Rattus norvegicus: one gene and its partner. The protein of the gene in region 1 interacts with the protein of each later gene in a biochemical or structural test. Links are inferred from orthologs where the notes say so. Each region holds a gene or a part of one and is shown on either strand. Other genes may lie near its edges.

Evidence for each region.
Region 2: the proteins of Daxx (region 1) and Rassf1 form a complex in vitro, tested with the Homo sapiens proteins (4 studies listed by BioGRID and IntAct, with this or other methods). The link is inferred for Rattus norvegicus from reciprocal best matches to the Homo sapiens genes DAXX and RASSF1.

The regions. Positions count from the first base shown.
Region 1 is NC_086038.1:4,974,891-4,978,801, reverse strand, and holds the start of Daxx (death domain-associated protein 6), read left to right. Parts: upstream 1-1,081; 5' UTR 1,082-1,161; exon of another isoform or gene 1,162-1,265; intron 1,266-1,684; exon of another isoform or gene 1,685-1,925; intron 1,926-2,018; 5' UTR 2,019-2,034; coding exon 2,035-2,241; intron 2,242-2,840; coding exon 2,841-3,666; intron 3,667-3,762; coding exon 3,763-3,911. UniProt on the Homo sapiens protein: Transcription corepressor known to repress transcriptional potential of several sumoylated transcription factors. Down-regulates basal and activated transcription.
Region 2 is NC_086026.1:117,110,146-117,113,956, reverse strand, and holds part of Rassf1 (ras association domain-containing protein 1), read right to left. Parts: intron 3,796-3,811; coding exon 3,691-3,795; intron 3,486-3,690; coding exon 3,188-3,485; intron 3,055-3,187; coding exon 2,939-3,054; intron 29-2,938; coding exon 1-28. UniProt on the Homo sapiens protein: Potential tumor suppressor. Required for death receptor-dependent apoptosis. Mediates activation of STK3/MST2 and STK4/MST1 during Fas-induced apoptosis by preventing their dephosphorylation.

The DNA of each region.
Region 1 (3,911 bases):
GCACATTGGTAAGATGCCCGCCACCTGAGGCAGGAAGACCGCGTTGATGCAGTCTCCGCGCGAAGGGTGTTGACTTATCAGGCTTCCTCGTCAGCACACCTGAGGGCCTCGCCTCTCCACCCCGGGCCCGGCCGGCATCACACAGTTGTTTTCCCCTCTTCCTTTTCTCCGCAGCTCTCCAGGAGAAGGAAGACACCCCGCGTGATTTTATGAGCCTCGATTCGTTTCCCAGCGCTCCCAGCGGCAGCTTGCAGGGCTTCTCACCAAGCCCGCACCAGGTTATCCCGCGCTCCGCCTCAACGCCCTGCAGACCCCTGCCCGGAAGCACTGCCTTCCATACAGTCAAGACGACCCTCGGTGGAACAGGGGCCACGGTTCCCAGTAGGGAGCTCGGTCTGTGGTGCAGATTGAGCATCCAGTCTCGCGGACCGCAATAATAACAATACCTCACTCGGGCAGCATGCTGTGCTCATTTGTATGCATGCATATGTGCGTGTGCGTGTGTGTGCACCTGACCCAGGAGGCCCGGGCTGGACAGCCTCCAAGTGCACGCCGGCTCTTAAAGGGAAGGGCAAGCATAGGCAACCAGGCGGTGGAACTCTTGGTCGGAGGGAAAGCAAAGTAGGGAGTGCCAGGCTTACACCAACAGGAAAAGAAAATCCTTTATTTCCTTCCCTGGAGCCCTACACAGCCATAGACACACCAGCTCCTTAGGTACCTGCTCGGATGGAAGGATGGGAAGGTCTTCCCCGCCCTCCAGCCGATGGCGTGGGGTGGGAGGGCAGGTCTGGGGCAGGAAGTTTCTGATTGGCCGAGTGGCTTTGGCAAGCTCCTGGTGCAAAGAGCTCCACGCCTCGCGGAGCTGGCTGGTGCCGTACGGCAACGTGGCGCGCCCCATCTACCTGGTCCCAGGCCCCGCCCCCCTGAGTGTCAGTGCACCCGGAGCGGCGGCCTAGGTGGGCGGGCCACGCGTCACTTCCGGTCCCAAGAAGCCTAGGTCCCGTACAGCAATATGGCCGCCCTCAGGTGCTGCAGGCGGAAACTCCGCGCCTTCCGGTCTGTTGTAGGGCCTGAGGTGGGGGTGGGGGAAAGGAAGGCGGAGGGAACTTTGCGAGGATTTGTGATCCGCGCTGAGGGGAGCCTCGAGAGACCGTTTCTGAGGTGGGGGCCAGGTCGTTCGTGGAGCCGGGGTGGCGGCGCAGGAGTTGGCGAAGGCGAAGGATCCGCACGGCCTGGCTGCGGAGTCTGAGGGGCGAGCTTGTATGGTACCTTGCTAGCCCTGAAGGGGAATGTGGCGGCCTAGGGCTGAACGCGGAGAGGGTTACTTGGCGGGAAGCTGAGGCTGGAGACTGTCCTCGCCTGGGGCTGGAAGCCCAGACATTGGGAATGCTGAGTGGTGGGCTTGCTGTCGGTTACGAGTCACAGAGAATGGGGAAAACCTGGGTGCGGTGAGAGGGAGGGGACTGGAGGTGAAAAATCTCCAGCCTGAAGTCCGGGTTTGTGGAAGGTGGAACATGGAGATGGTTGTAGGAGCGGGAAGGACACCAGGCTCTTCAGAGGGAAACCCTTTAACCTCGGAGTGGAAGAGTTGGAGTTAGGAAGAAGTCGGAGGGGACTGTGATGATGGAGGGCGAGAGGTGGGCAAACCCATGTGGTGGTATCGACTGGGTGTTGGTTTCTGTAGACGGAGAGAGCAGTGTGGGATCTTATACCCCATCGGATTGGGAGTAGGAAGAAAAAACTCACCAGCTGACAAGAGAGTGGGGAAAACGCAACCGAAAGACAGGAAATTGACTGGGGGCTGAAATTTGGGACTTGAGACGATCGATGGGGAGGTTCCCCTTCAGAACTGCCTGAGACTGATAGTTGCAAAAGACAGGCTTTGAAGACATCTCAGAAAGGACGAGGCTATTGTGAACCCTGAGGTATCTGACTGAGTGGGACTAAGGAGGAGGGGCTTTTCCTGAGTCACCCTTTCCCTTCCAGAATTCTGACCTTTCAAATACTTTTTCCCTCAGGGGGATTTGATCCCCCATGGCCACCGATGACAGCATCATTGTGCTTGACGATGATGATGAAGATGAAGCAGCTGCTCAGCCAGGACCCTCCAACCCAGCCTCTAATCCTGTCTCACCAGGACCAGAAGCCTCTGGTCCCTCTGAGTCCCATGGGGATGGAGGGAGCAGTAACTCAGGTAGCAGGAAGTGCTACAAGTTGGAGAATGAGAAGCTGTTTGAAGAGGTAAGCTTCAGGGAAGGCTCCCTTTCCTTTAAGAGAAGGGTCTCGCTTTGTGGCCCTGGTTGCCTGGAACTGTCTAGATGAGGCTGGCCTTGAACTCACAGAGTTCTACTTGCCTTTGCCTCCTGACAGCTGGGATTCAAGATGTGAATCACTGGGCTGGAGAGACAGCTCAGTGGTTAAGAGCACTGACTACCCTTCTAGAGGTATCGAGTTCAAATCCCAGAAACCACATAGTAGCTCACAACCATCTGTAATGGGATCTGATGCCCTCTTCTGGCGTCTGAAGACAGCTACAGTGTACTCATATATAGAATACATCTTTTTAAGAAAAGGATGTGGGGGTTGGGGATTTAGCTCAGTGGTAGAGTGCTTGCCTAGGAAGCGCAAGGCCCTGGGTTCGGTCCCCAGCTCCGAAAAAAAGAACCAAAAAAAAAAAAAAAGAAAAAAAGAAAAGGATGTGAACCATTATGATGTGATTGGGCAGATCCCAAGGAAAGGGGTGTTTGATTGGCTGATTGTTCTGGCTTCCTCACTGATTCCCTCTTTTTTTTTTTTTTTTGGTTTTTTGGTTTTCCCGTCCCTTCCCCCGAACCGTTTAGTTCCTTGAACTGTGTAAGATGCAGACATCGGACCACCCTGAGGTGGTTCCGTTCCTCCACAAACTGCAGCAGCGTGCTCAGTCCGCTTTTCTGGCCTCTGCAGAGTTCCGCAACATCCTCTCCAGGGTTCTGTCTCGGTCTCGGAACCGGCCAGCGAAGCTCTACGTCTACATTAACGAGCTCTGCACTGTCCTTAAAGCTCATTCCATCAAGAAGAAGTTGAACTTAGCTCCCGCAGCCTCAGCGGAATCATCGGGTGATAACCCTCCCACAGATCCCCCGTCTGACCTTACAAACACCGAAACCACTGCCTCTGAGGCCTCAAGGACTCGAGGCTCCCGGAGGCAGATCCAGCGCTTGGAGCAGCTGCTGGCACTGTATGTCGCAGAGATACAGCGGCTGCAGGAAAAGGAGTTGGATCTGTCAGAACTGGATGATCCCGACTCCTCCTATTTGCAGGAGGCCCGCTTGAAGCGGAAACTGATCCGCCTCTTTGGGCGGCTGTGCGAGTTGAAGGACTGCTCTTCTCTGACTGGGAGGGTCATAGAGCAGCGAATTCCTTACCGAGGCACTCGATACCCAGAGGTCAACAGGCGCATCGAGCGGCTCATCAACAAGCCGGGGCCTGACACGTTTCCGGACTATGGAGATGTGCTGAGAGCGGTGGAGAAGGCGGCGACCCGGCACAGTCTGGGCCTTCCCAGACAGCAGCTTCAGCTCCTGGCTCAGGATGCCTTCCGGGATGTGGGTGTCAGGTTACAGGAGCGCCGCCACCTGGATCTCATCTATAACTTTGGCTGCCACCTCACAGATGACTATAGGCCAGGTAGGAAGCTCCTGGGATGATTTCAGGTGGAACAGAGGCAGCTCTAATCCCTTCTAGGATTGGGACTGACTGCTCTGACCCTGTTTCCCCACACAGGCGTTGACCCCGCACTCACCGATCCCACATTGGCTCGCCGCCTTCGGGAGAATCGAACCTTGGCCATGAGCCGGCTGGATGAGGTCATCTCCAAGTATGCCATGATGCAAGACAAGAGTGAGGAGGGGGAGAGACAGAAGAGACGGGCC
Region 2 (3,811 bases), on another chromosome or scaffold:
GCAGCTCAGGCATGCTGAAGGCATCCCACTGGAAAGGGCAGAGGAGATTCACGGGCTGCAGCAATGCATGGCTAAGTAGGCAGACCCTCCTCAGAGACTGGTCCCTCATGGTCCCCGTAAGCAGGATAGGGCCTCCTGACAGTCCCTTCTTCTGCATCCCTCCTCGTTTTGTTACTATCTCATGTGTTTTGTCATGTATCACATGTATGCATGTCCACACAGAGGTCAGAAGAAGGTATCAGATCCCCTGGAGTTAAGAGTTACACATGGTTGTGAGTGCCCTCTGGGTGCTGGGAATCAAATCCAGGTCCTCTATAAGAGCGACATGTACTCTTAACCACTAAGCCAACTCTTTTTGTTGTTGTTTAAAGGTTTTATAATTTATGTACATTGGTGTTCTGCCTGCATGTATGTCTATGTGAGGGTATCAGATCCCTTGGAAATGGAATTACAGATAGCTGTGAACTGAACCCCAGGTATTGAGCCCATGTCCTTCGGAAGAGCAGCCAGTACTCTTAACCACTGACCCATCTCCCCAGCCCTCCTGAGCCAACTCTTTAAGCCCCTTATTTTTTTGTTGTTTTTTGAGTCATGGTCTTTCCACATATAAGAGGCTGGCCTTGAACTTGTTATGTAGCCAGGTTAGTCTCAAACTTGTGATTCTCCTGTTCTGCTTCCTGAATGCTTGGATTACAAGTACTTATCACTACGCTAGGCTAGATGTTAGGCTCTTGACTAAAGAGTCTGTGCTAGGATCCTCGTGAGCAGTCTGCAGAGAAAACAGTTGCCTTGTAGAGAAATATCTCTATCTGTTGTCAGGTGCACTCTCTCACATATCCTCTGTCTGTCTGTCTGTCTCTCAATACAATGGGCTATGACTCACACCTAAGGTGTCATAAATGTTAGCAGTTACCTTTTACATTTCTTTCCCACTAAGCTACATTCCCAGACAGCCCCCTCACCCGCCCTACATTTTCTTTATCTTTGCTGCCCAGCCTTGTGGATGCTGAGCGTCCATTCTCCCTACTGCGCCACCGCCACAGCTAACCCCTTGGTAAAAATTTTTTATTTTTTGCATTACTGGCAATTGCACTGTGCTGTCTAGTTTTCTGTCAGCTTGACACGAGCTAAAGTTATCTGAAAGTTGGGAATCTTAGTTGAAAAAAAAAATGCGACCATAAGATCTGGCTGTAAGGCATTTTCTGAGTGACTGATAGGGGAGGTACCACCCCTGGGCTGGTGGCCATGGGTTCTATAAGGAAGCAGGCTGAGCAAGTCAGTAAGCAGCACACACCATGGCCTCCTCCTTCAGCTCCTACCTTCAGGTTCCTGTCCTGTTTGAGTTCCTGCCCTGACTTCCTTCAATGATGGACTATGATATGGAAGTGTAAGACAAATCCCCCAACTTACTTTCTGGTCTTGGTGTTTTATCAGAGCAACAGAAAACCTAACTAAGACATGAACCAAGGGATAAGCATGCTGAGTACTTGACCACTGAACTATAGCCCCAGGCCTTTTATGTTTGAGACAGGATCTCATTCAGTTAACCTGGACTGGCCTTAAGTCACTCTGTAGCCCAGGGAGGCTTTGAACTAGTGATCTTCCTGCATTCCAAGTAGTTGAGATTAAAGGAGAGTGTATGTCACTAGGCCTTGCTAGGAAGAATGTCTTGTTTGTTTGTTGGTCTTGAACTCTAGGCAATTCTTCTGCTTTAGTTTCCCCAGTAGATGAGATTACAGGCCTGTGCTGCTAAAACGTCTGTCCAATGCTTCAAAGAGGCCTTTATGTTTTCCAGGTTATACCTGTGAAACTTTGTTCATTTGTTTTAGGGGCTTGAGAGACAGTTCAATGGTTAAGAACATTGGTTGCTCTTACAGAGAACCAGAGTTCAATTTCCAGCACCAACATGGTGGGTTCCAATCATCTGTAACTCTGTTCCAGGGGAGCCAACACCTTTTTCTGACTCCTCTGGGCATGTGTACACCTATATACAAATATATACATACAGGCAAAAGAATCATACACAAAGTCTTTTTTAAAAACTGTTTTATGTGGATAAGTGTTTTGTCTGCAGGCAGATATGTGCACTGTGTGCATGGTCTGGAATTATGGACAGTTGTAAGCTTCTACATGGGTGCTAAGAACCAAATCCAGGTCCTCTGCATGAACGACGAGTGCTTTTAACCACTGAGTCATCGTTCTTGCCCTACTGTTCTAGGTGTGTGTGTGTTAGAGTGGGGTTACATGCACATAAGTACAGGTACCCTCTGAGGCCAGCAGAGGAAGTCAAATCCTTTGGGAGCTGCTGGACATGGTCCTTGGGAAAAGCAGCAAGCACTCCTAACTGTGGAGGCGTCTCTGAGCCCACATAATACGTAGCTCTGAACTTGTCTTGGCTCAGCATGAGTTGGTCAAGTCCTCAATCTTTGGAGTAGTTTTTCTTTTTCTTTTCTTTTTTTTTTTTTTTTGGAGCTGAGGACCGAACCCAGGGCCTTGTGCTTGCTAGGCAAGCGCTCTACCACTGAGCTAAATCCCCAACCCTTGGAGTAGTTTTTCAACATCAGGAAACAACAAAGTCCTAAGGCAATTCTTCCTAGCTTGTGTGTTTTTTGTTGTTATTGTTGTTTAGTTTTTGTTTGTTTTGTTTTTTTTTTTGTAGCTCAGACTGATCCCAAACTCACAGCAATCCTCCAGTCTCAGCCTCCCAAGTACAGTGATTAGAACATGAACAACTCACTAGACTCAGCTTCTTCTAGTTTCTTGGGATGGGCTCTAGACCTTGCTTGGGCTCTAGACTTCCACTTGAGGACCTGCATAGTCTTGGAGAAGCTGTGCAGGGTTTGGCCTCTAGGCCAGTTTCTCCTGAAATTCCCACCATAGCTATGCCCCACTAGCTTTGTCTAGTGATAAAAAAGAGTAAGAAAGGCTATGTACTCACATTCACCTCCCCAGAGTCATTCTCCTTCAGGACAAAGCTCAGGGCTTTTTCACTGGGCCCTGCAAGAAGCCGTAGCTTCAAGGGCTGCTCCTCATCTGACAGTTTCCGGAAGTATACTAGAGGTCAGACGGGGTTGGGGGGGTGGAGGGAATAAACAGTTAGAGGCAGAACCTGATGCCTCAGCCCCTTAGTGCACAGATATGTGGTATATACCCCCTTACATAGGGAGACTTAAGACTGGAAACCTACTTTGGCCATGGCGTTCAGTTCGTTCAAAGAGTGCAAACTTGCGAGGATCATCTACTACCATGAATTTTCGAAGCAGGGCCTCAATGACCTCACGCGCGCGTGTTCGTGACAGAACGTGCAGATGCTTAACAGCATCCTTAGGCAAGTAAAAAGAGGTGCGGCGCTTCACAGCTGAGCTCCGCCCCGTGCCCCTCCGGGCATCCTGCAAGGAAGGCGGTTTCTTGCTGGAAGGCACTGAAACAGGGCGTACCAGTTTCAGCTGAACCTTGATGAAGCCGGTGTAGGAGCCATCCTTATTCTAGAAAGAGAGAAAGAACCACGCCACGTGTCAGGAAGTTCTACTGGAGATGGCTGAGGTAGGCTGAGTCCACCTGGGGCAGTGCAAAGACAGGTATGCATAGACTGCTGCTTGGGTCCACCCACAAATACGTGGCTCGGACTCTCTGGACCTCTGGCACAAGGCTGGGCTCCTGTTCCCCCACACTCCTAAGCAGACAACTCACCAGGCTCATGAAGAGGTTGCTGTTGATCTGGCCATTGTAATCCTTGATTTTCTGCTCAGTCTCAGCTTGGGAAAGATCAGGTGTCTCCCGCTCCACAGCCTCATCCTAGAAGACAGGCCAG